Linked DNA regions of Cricetulus griseus. The protein of the gene in region 1 interacts with the protein of each later gene in a pairwise test. Links are inferred from orthologs where the notes say so. Each region holds a gene or a part of one and is shown in the gene's direction. Other genes may lie near its edges.

Region 1 (2,263 bases):
GTGTGTGTGTGTGTGTGTGTGTGTGTGTGTGACCTCAGGGACTGTTCCACCCTCTTACTTATCCCTCCCTAGAACCCAGAGGCCCTTGAGGCATGGGCCCCAGGTGCCTGGCTGACCCCCCCCCCACTACTGTGTCTGCAGATGGTGGTCACTAGCCCTGGGCCTGGCCACGTGGTAGCACCAGTCTCTGGGAACAACCTGGGTGTGTTGCGTGCAGAGATCAAGCCTGGGGTGCGTGAGATCCATCTGTGCAAGGATGAGCGTGGCAAGACTGGACTGCGCCTGCAGGCTGTCGATAAGGTAAAGATCTGTGGAGGAGCCCCTGGGGGACAGTGTGCCCCTCTGGTGCTAAGTAGCACTTGTCACAGTCCCAGGGATATAAGCTCCCCTTTGGGGGCAGTTTCCTGGCAGTCTGAGATGGCGTAGTGTATAGGGGCCTCCCCTCCCAGGTCTCAGAGAGCCTCTGTCCACAGTAAGGAAGGTTCCATGCAGGCACCTTAATACCTGAGGCCTCAAGGTATGCCTAGTTGCAGCAGGGATCCTCTTTCAGTCCCATACAAGGCTCCTTTTACTCAGAGCCCCGTTTCCAGTACCCCAACTCCCATGGACCTGGCTTCCTGATGACTGTAGAGAAAGTCAGCCAGATGCCTTTGGGAAGGGTGGTACGGGAGAATTGATTGTGATGCTGAAATCCTGATTTGGCATATGCTGGGTCGTCTGGTGTGTTTCCTCCTCCAGGAAAATAGCCATAACCTGTGTGTCCCCCAGAAGATCTTAGGTCCCACCACACTGTAAGCTCACAGGGTAAGGGGAAAGGGACATCTTAGAGGAGGGGCCTAGGCTCAGGCAGCCAGGGGTGCTGACTCTGGAGTCTTGCTTCCCAGGGGCTCTTTGTGCAGCTTGTCCAGGCCAACACTCCTGCATCCCTCGTGGGGTTGCGCTTTGGGGATCAGATCCTGCAGATTGATGGGTGTGACTGTGCTGGGTGGAGCACATACAAAGCTCACAAAGCATTGAAGAAGGCGTCAGCAGAAAAGATCACCATGATTGTTCGTGACAGGTCAGTAGCCAGGTCCCAGCATCCTCCCTGCCTGGCCCCAGCCACACCCACAAGCCCAGCTTACTGTCACTCTCTACCAGGCCGTTCCAGCGGACTGTCACTATGCACAAGGACAGCTCAGGCCAAGTTGGCTTTTTCATCAAGAAGGGGAAGATTGTATCTGTGGTAAAGGGAAGCTCTGCAGCCCGTAACGGGCTTCTCACTAACCACTACGTGTGTGAGGTGAACGGACAGAACGTCATTGGGCTAAAGGTAGGCACTGTGGAGATGGTAGGGGTGGGGCGGCTCCTGTCTGCATAGGCTGTAGAACCTGCCAGAGCCTCAACATGCCCATCCTAAGGTAGATGGGGGCTTCAGTAGGACTGTGTGGAGCTATGAGCAGTGTCACTCGGAATGAGTAGGTGCCCAATAAGAATCCACTATAGATACTAACACGCAAGATGGGCCAGCAGGTACCCTAATGTGTGAGGACCTGGGCTCACTGGTGGCTGCTGGCCACAAGGACACCTCCTCCTCTGTGTGGCATTTCTCTTTGGATGCTGATCACATTCAGTAATGGGGATTTCCTTTAGAAAACGGTGATGTGGACATCCATTTCTGGCCTTGGCTTATTCAGGGAAGGCAGGTGAATTCTATCTTTACAATGCAAGAAGGTATACCCGGCTTTAGGCTGGTGCTGTAGATGTGGGAAGAGAGGTGTCTTCTGGGAAGGGGCAGTAATGAGCTGTGGTCTGAGACTTGAACAAGTGAGAGCGACCAGTCCTGATTCATGCCACTACAGTGGGAGTGCCTCTCCAGCAGGTGGTGCTCATGGGGCAGGTGGTGGCATCTCACTCCACAGTGGGCCATGTGTCTGCTTCCTTGTCCCTGGCAGTCTCCCTTCACCTTTCATGGAGACTTGTTCTGGTGGCTGTACTATTGTGGCCAGGGAGTTCTATGTCTGAGATCCCTCCTGGTGAGCCTGCTCCCAGTACTCTGTGATCAAGCCTACCAGGCAAAAGGCCATCACCGTCAACGCTTGAAAGGCTGAGTGCAATAATGCCACTCCTGAGCAGCTAGGAGTGGCTTCTTTGAAAAGATAACAGTCAGCCAGGTGGTGGTGGTGCACTCCTTTAATCCCAGCACTCGGGAGGTAGAGGCAGGCAGATCTTTGTGAGTTCAAGACCATACTGGTCTACAAGAAAAGATAACAGTCCATTTGTA
Region 2 (3,576 bases), on another chromosome or scaffold:
GGGGAAACACACCTCTGCAGATTTAGTGGTCCAATCTTGCAGATTAAGAAGCTTTGACTCCAGCCAATTTCCCTATGACAGAACCTTTCAGAGGGTTCATGACAAGGTCTTTGAATAAACTAGCCTGTGGGAACCTGAATACTCCGAAGACTTCCTAGGCAATTCAAGAACTGGACTTGGTAGTCCTACAGTAAATGGACAAGAGGGTTAATTCAGAATAGATTTGCTCTACCTGTGAGAGTTAAAAGCACAACCTTTGATTTTTGCTTCCAAGGGAAGAAGACTGTCAAGCAGCTTTTTCTCTTTTTAATGGACGATGGTATGCAGGACGACAGCTTCAGTGCGAATTCTGCCCAGTGACCCGGTGGAAAATGGCAATTTGTGGTAAAAGCCAATGTAGTGGCACCCCTCCCCCACTGCTGCACTATACAAGGGAATCTTCATAGGAAGAAAGCAGTATTTTAAAGGGATGAAGTACAGTTTTTGTCTCATACTACAGATGAGCAGAGTGGTTATGTAAAGGACACCACAGTTTAGATCTGCACAGGCCTGTGGGTCACTATATGGATGAATGACTGAGGTCACTATACATTGGTAACAGGATTGCATCTTGAATTTGAGTCTTCAGATCCTCAGACCTGGGTTCTGTGTGTGACAATGCAGTGTCTAAACTAAAGATACCTACATGATCCGTGTTGCAGTTTCAAAGGTGTTTTCGTTGGTTCTCCTCACTTGAGCTGTTTGCTTCAGTCTTGATCCCTAAGGAATCTTCCATCATCAACGCCACAAACATTACTGGTGGCTAACATTGCCCACATTGCTTGAAGTCATGCTCTTGTGCATTTGAGACCGTTTGGTAGGTGTGAATGAGTTAAGTTGCACATTGGGTGCTCTCAGTTATACTGACTCATCCGAGATCGGCAGCCAAACCAGGAAATGATTCAGCACTGCAGAGAGTAACCAGCCGCTTTGATGGCCTCATCATTTTCTGATTTCTAAAAGTGTGCTTAGCCAAATCAGTATGGAAGTTCCCCAGGTGAAGAGACATGAAGCTCTAATGCCTCAGGGGTGTGTGTGCTTCTGCCTTCTTGTTTTCGCTGCTCTTCCTTCTCAGGTGCTTTTTATCAAGCAAGTCTAAATCTTTAGCAGTCTTCTGTTAATGTATACTGTCATTAAAAACAAAACATTTATGATGGGCATGTATGATGACACCTTTGGTTCCAAAATTGGGGGTAGGTCAAGACACAAGGATTGTGAGTTCAAGGCCAGCTTGGGTTTGAAATAAATAAACTAATTAATTGATTAATTAATGTAACAATTATCAAAAAGGAGGAGTTAGAGAGATGGCTCAGTGGTTAAGAGCACTTGTTCTTATAGAGGACCCAGGTTCAGTTCTCAACACCTACATGTTGGCTCATCACTGACTGTAACTCCTGTTTCAGGGATTCTGATACCCTCTTCTGATCTTCATGGGCACCAGGCATGTACATGGTGCACATACATAAATGCAGACAAAACACTCATATACATAAATTAAATAAACCTTAAAAAGTTTTAAAATAAATAAAAAAAGCTGGACAGTGGTGGTGCTCGCCTTTAATCCCAGCACCTGGGAGGCAGAGGCAGGCAGATCTTTTTGAGTTCAAGGTCACCCTGGTCTACAGACACACACACACACACACACACACACCACACACACACACAACACACAGAGGGAGAGAGGAGGAGAGAGAGAGAGAGAGAGAGAGAGAGAGAGAGAGAGAATTTTAGAATTCCTTGAAAATGAGAACCAACATTATGCCCTAAGTTTAAGGGTTGGGCAGATGAGCAAGATGACAGGGTATTCTCTTTAGGCTTATAGTTTTGGTAGTTCCTCAAGATGCACTCTGTGATTTCAGTGATAGGTTTGAATACAATTTTGAAACCGCCAAACAAGGAATGTTACTAAAAGCAACAACAACAACATCAATGACAAAAAATATAAATAGCTTTTAGGATCTTTCTCAGGAACTAATAACTTTTTTGTGTCCTTATTATTGACATCTGGTGTATCTTCTTTGGAGAGATCTCTATTTAGATAGTTGCCCATTTTTAATCATGTTACATCTTGTTTTTATTCAGCTATAGAAATTCTTGATTTTATATACCAGTACCTGATCACAGAGGTCATCTGCAAATGCTATCTCATCATTTTACTTTATTTACCTTTAGCCACAAAGGATTTCTTTCTTTCTTGTTTTCTCTCTCTTTTGTGTGTGTGTGTTTAGAGACAGGACCTCATGTACCCCAGGCTGTGGACATAAGTGTGCCATCATACCTGGGTATTAATGTTCTTATTATGTATAGAACATTGCAGAATCCCCTCCCATGTTGGACCTTCTCCTGACCAACCTATGCTTTCAGAAAAATGTGAATATAGGGATTCCAAAATCCAGTTCTTGAATCAGTTCACTTGCACTCTGCTGACACAAGGCACAGGTGTTCTGATTAATTAAAGCTAGTTTGCAGCCTTTTTTATGGTACCTTTTAGTATTCGAGTGTTCTTGCAATCTTAGGCACCACCTCAGTTTATCTACATCATACACTGTAAGAAACAGTGCAGACATACCCTGACTTCAGAAATTCACCTTCTGAAAAAGAATGAATTACAGTAATGCACGCTGATAATCACTGCCTCTTCACTTGCCCTCACAGGATTATTTGAAGTACAGCAGTGTCCAAGAGGAAAACATTGCAACTTTCTTCACGTGTTCAGAAATCCCAACAACGAATTTAGGGAAGCCAACAGAGACATCTACCAGTCTCCAGATTGGACTAGTTCGTCCTTCGGTAAGAATTTTGAGAGGAGGGAAAGGACCAGCCACTATGATGATATATACTATGGCAGGTCAAGAAGACGAAGGAGCCTGAGTCCAGACCTCTCCTACAAGAGAAACGGTGAGTCTGACAGGAAGAGCAGGAGTAATCACAGGGGGAAGAAGTCTCACAAACACGTGACGAAAAGTCGTGAGAGGCGCAGTTCACTGACCAGAGGAAGAAGAAGGGATCACAGTCCATGCCCCTGGAATCAGAGCCGGAGGAACCGCAGGAGCCGGAGCCGGTGCCGCAGGAGCCGCAGCCGGAGCCGGAGCCGAAGCCGCAGCCGCAGTCGGACCCGAAGCCAAAGCGGGAGCCGAAGTCGGAGTCAGAGTCGGAGCCGGAGCCGGAGCCAGAGCTCATCAAGGTCCAGGAGTCATGGCAGGAAGAAGTCAGGTAGTAGAGACAAAACCACCCAGAGTCCCAAATCTAAATAAACTTGGTTGTTTTTAAATATCATTGTCTTTTTATGGCAGCTACTCACCTGTATAGTTTGACAAGGCTAGCCAAACTATTATGTAAATCATACTTTTTGATAAATTGTGTATATAATAACATGAAATTACTTGTAGTCCTAACTTTGAGAGCATCAAGTAACATTGGAGTAATGCTTTAGTATTTTTTTCATTTTCTGTATTTCTCTCTCTCTCTCTGTGTAAGTGGATCACAAGCACGGAGGTCAGAGAACAATTTTCAGGGTTCAGTTACAGTGAGATCCAG
Region 3 (3,576 bases), on another chromosome or scaffold:
GGAACTCAGAATTCCACCTGCCTCAGCCTCCCAAGTGCTGGGATTAAAGGCTGGCACTACATCTCATAGCTAGTGTTATTTTCATCAGAGCATTCATTTGGTAGCTTGAGGAGGAGGAGTTTATTTCAGGTCTTGATGTTCAGCGAGAAGGTGACATTTGACCTAGGTCTTAGGAATGGATATGGGCCGGGCATGATGGCTCACATCTTTAATCCCAGCACTCAAGAGGCAGAGGCAGGCGGATCTCTGTGAGGTTGAGGTCAGCCTGGTCTCCAGAGCATGTTCCAGGACAGCCAAAGATACACAGAGAAACCCTTTCTCAAAAAAACAAACAAAAAAGAAATGGATATGGCATTTTCAAGAAGCAGAAGGAATGGTGCTTTGGGAAGTGAAATGACTTAGGAAAGGCACAGGCAGGAGAGCAACAGCATATCAGGGTGTCCTGTGAGTGGGAGAGGTGACCAGTCAAATCTGTCTCTTCAGGCCCTCATTGATATCTTTTCCTTACTGTGACCAGCATTTTATGATAGTTCTGGACATTGAACCTCAGGCCTAGAACATCCTAGGCATATGCCCTTGGCTCATTGCTCCTGTCAGTACTAACACTGGCACATACCACTTAATAATTGAATTGAGTGAATTGGATGAAAAAAAGACAGACAACCTTTCACAGGGGCTGTGACCCACAGGTTGAGAACCACCGCTCTATGTGACCTGTGATGAAGCCTGACCTACACATAGCAGTGAGGGCAGAGAGGGATCTGAAGGTGAGACCCTTGTGTGGGAGGTCTGGCTGGCCATGTGGTGTGTTAGAACCCTAGAGTGTTGAGATTGATTTTAACGAGGACGTGTTTAAGCTGTGGCTCAGGGCCTCTTAGAACTCTGCTCTTCAAATCAGGACACCTGAAAACTTGCTCTATGTTCCCAGTGCCTGTCTTGGTTTTTGTTATTCAGACTTTATTATGTTTTGAAGGGGCCCATTTCTATAACCCACACCAGATAGTTGACTCTTTATGCATTTAGATTCTTCTAGGGCAAAGGCCAGACATTTGTGCAAACATTTTCAGAACTTAAATTATATGCTTATCTGTACTGTCCACCTAGGTAGCCACAAATAACATGGGGTTATTCAAATGTAAATTCATGAAAATTAAGTAAAATTTAAGCACTGGGTCTGATGGTGCAGACTCGTAGCCCTAGCTAGTCCAGGCAGCTTAGCAAGACTCCTATTTCAAAACAAAAAGTAAACAGAGGCTGGGGATGAAGCTTACAATCCAGTGCTTGCCTAGTGTGGATGAAGCCCTAGGTTCAGCCTTCAGTATCCCAAACAGTAGAAATAAGTAAGTGGAATTTAATATCTTTTTTTAAAAATCTGTATAGGTATTTTACTTGCATGTATGTTTGCATACCACTTGTGTCTGGTGCCCTCAGAGTTCAGGAGAGGGTGTTGGTTCCCCTGGAATTAGAGTACAGATGATTATAAGCCACTATTTTGGTGCTGGGAATTAAACCCCAACCCTTCGGAAGAGCAACAAGTGCTCTTAACCCACAAAAGTGCTTCAACCCCATGAGTTTAATATCTTAATTCATTAATCACGCAGCCACATGCCTTCAGTTCCAGCAGAGGCAGGTGGATCTCTGTAAAGTCAAGACTGTCTTTGTCAACAGCACAATAATACCATACACCAATGAGAATAAATGATTCATAACTATAGACAACAATGTGGATATGTTTCACGGACAATAGAACTATACAGGAAATATCGTGTGTTGGGGTATATCTTTGAAACCAGGGCTTTTTGTATGCTAGACATTTGTTCTTAAAAGTGTGTTAACATCTCAGGTACTCTACTACTTTTATTTTGAGACATAGCTTTGCTAAATTGCTCAGGCTAGTCTTGAACTCTTGAAACTCCTCAGGCTCCCCAGTCCTAGGATTATAGATGTGTACCATCACTGCCAGCTACTGTAAAGAGAAAAGTGGTTTTGTGTTGTTAGAAGAAAAAAATAGCAGTTACTCTGGGAGTAAGCTTGATGACTAGCAGTAAGCATGAGATGATTGGTTTTTGTTGTTTTTGGATACAGGGTTTCTCTGTGTAGCCCTGGCTGTCCTGGAACTCACTCTGTAGACCATTCTGGCCTCAAACTCACCAACATCCTACCTGCCTCTGCCTCCCGAGTGCTGGGATTAAAGGCGTGCGCCACCACTGCCTGGCTGACATGTCTGTTTTAAGAGAGGTTGGTTGTGTTGTTATCCATCCTGGTACTGGTTACATGGGAAAGTGCAGACTGAAAACTAAGTGGGCTCATACTTGCTCTAAGTGGCTTCCATGTGAGTCTTTTATACAGGAGCTTATTATGCTCATTAAGAGTGTAACAGGAGCTGGGCGGTGGTGGCGCACGCCTTTAATCCCAGCACTCGGGAGGCGGAGGCAGGCAGATCTCTGTGAGTTTGAGACCAGCCTGGTCTACAAGACCTAGTTCCAGGACAGCCTCCAAAGACACAGAGAAACCCGGTCTAAAAAACCAAAAAAAAAAAAAAAAAAAAAAAGAAAGAAAAGAAAAGAGTGTAACAGGAATAGAAAAATCTCTTATGGCCTAGGGACTTAGAGAAGAAGACTTGAAGAAAAGAACCTTGCGGTGTTTGGGTAATGCATTGTTGAGGTAGAGTAAGGGAGGGCAGGGCATTTCAAAGTGGCATCTGCCTACGGAAAGGCACTGAACCACTGGGAAAAGGAGAACTGACTTGTTGGCCAGGGCCTAAGTAAAATAAAGAGGAAACTGGAGAAGTATGTTTGAGACAAACTGAAAGCCCCAACACCAAGGTCTTATAAGGAACTTGGACTTGATTTTTAGAAAGCCTGTAAAGCTGCACCACCACCTGCCAATTAAACTTTCAAATATTTTTTCTGTATATTATTGAGAGGAGACCTAATATCATTCATAATTGTTCATTCAAAGCCCCATTCTGGGCCAGGCAGTGGTGGCGAACACCTTTAATCCCAGTCAGAGGCAGGTGGATCTCCATGAGGTCAGCCTGGTCTACAGAGTGAGTTCCAGGAGAGCCAGGCTATACAGAGAAACCCTGTCTCCAAAAATAAAGCTTATTGTAAACATGGAAAAAAACAAAAAAAAGAAGGAGCTATTTCACTGTCTCTTTCTGCCCAATGCTTTTCTTTTCTCCCTCTCTTCCTTGCCAAAAGCAAAACAGAAAACCAACAAGCAGCATTATGTTGTAATATATCTGACCACTTCTCTGAGAAGCTCCAGTGGTCAGGATCTCTTTCATTACAGGCAAGAAGAGAGGCGGAGGCGCTCCTTCCAGGATTACACTGGGCAGAAGATCACCCTTGAGGCTGTCCTGAACACTACCTGCAAGAAGTGTGGCTGCAAAGGTATGAGAAGTCTGCCATTTCTGTCTCCTCCCCTGTGCACTGTCTACTGGCTGAAGGAGGCCATGTCAGTTTAGCTCGGTGCGTTTTTCAGTGACTGCTACCTGCATTCATTCATACCATCCGTCTTCTGCCACACTGTCCCCAAGCACAAGCACTCTTCTGTAGAAATTAAGTGACTTGA
Region 4 (2,313 bases), on another chromosome or scaffold:
AGCTATTGGTTGTGCTGTCAGTGTTGGTGGTGGACAGGCCTTCCTTTTCTTTGCTCATTTGCTGAATCTGAGATGTGGGCTAGGCTGGCTTGTACCTGGTGGCCTTCTCAGTCACTGGCTTTCTTGGCTCCAAATCTAGACTGTGGAGCAGAAGAGCCTGTCCCATGGTAGGCCCTGAGACACTGCCAGTCACCACCTTTGCGTGTTTTAGGTTTGCTGAGTCTGGCATTCAGTTAGAGTTTGGCCTAGCAGAAAAAGCAGGAGCAGGCTGAACTCAGCTGCATCTTCTATACTACAGGATGTATGTGGATGCCTAGTTCAGTGCGTCTTTTGATTCTTTCTCCCCAGAGGTTGTCCCTATCATGCTGCTTGTGAGGACCATCCCTCCATACTGGGTACATTGCTTTCTGAAAGACAGTTGGTCTCTGGAAGCCTCTGCTACTGGGCTAGCGAATGACTTGGGGTCTTGTTCATGGGAGAGTCATGTTATTTCCCAGGAAGCACACAACTGTGAAGACATTTTTTTCTTTGCCCTTTGGTGGCAAGACAAAAGGCCTTATTCATCATTCCTTGCGTTGTAGGTAAATTCAACTGGAAGGGGACCATTAAAGCCGTTCTGAAACAGGCTCCAGACAATGAGATATCCATCAAAAAGTTAAAGAAAAAGGTACGTCTTGCAACAAAATAAGGCATGGAACACCTGGAAAGGGGTTGTTTCTAAATGTGTATGTGTGTTGTTTAACCTGAAACACTCAGACAGACAGACAGACAGACTGACAGACGTCAAGAGCTGTTCACATGTGCAACTGGAACAAGCCCACTCTCCTGCAGCCAAGCTAGGGTAGCTCTCTGACTCTGGACCTATCTGAAGATTGCATGTACTGTCTACAGTTGACTGTACTGGAAATGACCAGAAGTAATTTTTCTAGATACTTTGCTCTCTTTTGCTGATATTAAATGGTTGCTGGTGCTTTTTCCAGTTATTGCATCTATTTACTTATGAGAGTGTGTGCATAAATGTGGAGGTCAGAGTACAACTTGAAGGAGTGTTTTCTCCTTCCACCATTTGAGCCCTAGGGATTGAACTAAGTCATCAGGCTTGCACGGCAAGTCCCTTCCATTGAGCCATCTCACCTGACACACACACACACACACACACACACACACACACACACACACACACACACACACACACACACACACACACACACACACGCCTTTTTTAAAAAAATTCTGTAGCTGTGTGTGACGTGCAGTTGTGTACACATGGGCAGCTGCTGGGTCTTCACAAGCAGTACATGCTTGTGTGACCAGCTTCTGGGCTTCTTTTATTTTGTAATGTGGACCCACATCTGCACCTTTTTCCGTGTACTTCAACCCCAAAGAAGCCTAGACAGGTAGATTTGCCAAGCACATCTACAACAGGCCTCCATATCTGACATCTGTCTCTCTTTGCAAAGGTTATAGCTCAGTACCACGCAGTGACAAGCGACCATCACATGTCAGAGGAGGAGCTCCTGGCCATCTTCAACAAGAAAATTAGCAAGAACCCCACCTTTAAGGTGCTGAAGGACAGAGTCAAGCTTCTGAAGTGAATGCACCGTCACTTCACACACTTTTGACTGCTTCCCTGTACTGTTTGTAAAATGTGTAATGAATTATAACAACCCGAATTTTTGCTTTCTGAAACTATTTTTAAGTTAAGGAAAAAATATATTTTTGTTAAAACGTTTATGAAAAAAATAAAATATATTCTTGTCGAATTCTATATCAATAGTAAAAAAAATCATGTACTTAAAGAAAACACTGCAGGAAACTTTAGAATGTAATGTGATGCCAAGTGAAGATGGGTTTCCCCATTTGGTGAGGTGGGGAGGTGTTGGTTAGTCACATCCCTCTGTGTGCCTCCAACCAGAGATGCTGCCTGATAGAGCTGCAGTGTGAATTTCTAAGTGGTGGTGACTGGGATTTTAGGAGTGATGATCCTTGTTTAGCCACAGGTGACAATCTATAGAGGAGACATGTCTAACAGATTAGCCCATGCAGCCTTCTTGTCAGGAACACATTGAGAAGTGTAGCCTGTGGGGGTGGCTGTAAGCATAAGAAAGCCCATCTGCTTCTCATGCTCTCGGCAGCGCCTGCTCCAGTGCTGGCACTGTGTGTCCTGGTGGAGCCCTGCACCACCACCTACTGAGAGCTGGTGTTTTGCCCACAAATCCCTTAAGCCTTCAGCAAGAATTACCCCTTTGGCAGTGTCACTATTCACTCATCCTTGGGGTGAAAGCAAGATGGATACAGAACAGATGCTGCAAG

The links.
Region 2: the proteins of Sdcbp2 (region 1) and Zrsr2 interact in binary tests that used the Homo sapiens proteins (3 or more experiments, as listed by UniProt). The two-hybrid records come from large-scale screens. The link is inferred for Cricetulus griseus from reciprocal best matches to the Homo sapiens genes SDCBP2 and ZRSR2.
Region 3: the proteins of Sdcbp2 (region 1) and Zcchc17 interact in binary tests that used the Homo sapiens proteins (3 or more experiments, as listed by UniProt). The two-hybrid records come from large-scale screens. The link is inferred for Cricetulus griseus from reciprocal best matches to the Homo sapiens genes SDCBP2 and ZCCHC17.
Region 4: the proteins of Sdcbp2 (region 1) and Lyar interact in binary tests that used the Homo sapiens proteins (3 or more experiments, as listed by UniProt). The two-hybrid records come from large-scale screens. The link is inferred for Cricetulus griseus from reciprocal best matches to the Homo sapiens genes SDCBP2 and LYAR.

The regions. Positions count from the first base shown.
Region 1 is NC_048599.1:28,455,586-28,457,848, reverse strand, and holds part of Sdcbp2 (syntenin-2), read left to right. Parts: intron 1-141; coding exon 142-300; intron 301-884; coding exon 885-1,060; intron 1,061-1,140; coding exon 1,141-1,312; intron 1,313-2,263.
Region 2 is NC_048604.1:98,761,269-98,764,844, reverse strand, and holds part of Zrsr2 (U2 small nuclear ribonucleoprotein auxiliary factor 35 kDa subunit-related protein 2), read left to right. Parts: intron 1-274; coding exon 275-384; intron 385-2,694; coding exon 2,695-3,293; 3' UTR 3,294-3,576. UniProt on the Homo sapiens protein: Pre-mRNA-binding protein required for splicing of both U2- and U12-type introns. Selectively interacts with the 3'-splice site of U2- and U12-type pre-mRNAs and promotes different steps in U2 and U12 intron splicing.
Region 3 is NC_048595.1:22,723,856-22,727,431, forward strand, and holds part of Zcchc17 (nucleolar protein of 40 kDa), read left to right. Parts: intron 1-3,294; coding exon 3,295-3,395; intron 3,396-3,576.
Region 4 is NW_023276807.1:107,185,708-107,188,020, forward strand, and holds the end of Lyar (cell growth-regulating nucleolar protein), read left to right. Parts: intron 1-581; coding exon 582-667; intron 668-1,460; coding exon 1,461-1,595; 3' UTR 1,596-1,768; downstream 1,769-2,313. UniProt on the Homo sapiens protein: Plays a role in the maintenance of the appropriate processing of 47S/45S pre-rRNA to 32S/30S pre-rRNAs and their subsequent processing to produce 18S and 28S rRNAs. Also acts at the level of transcription regulation.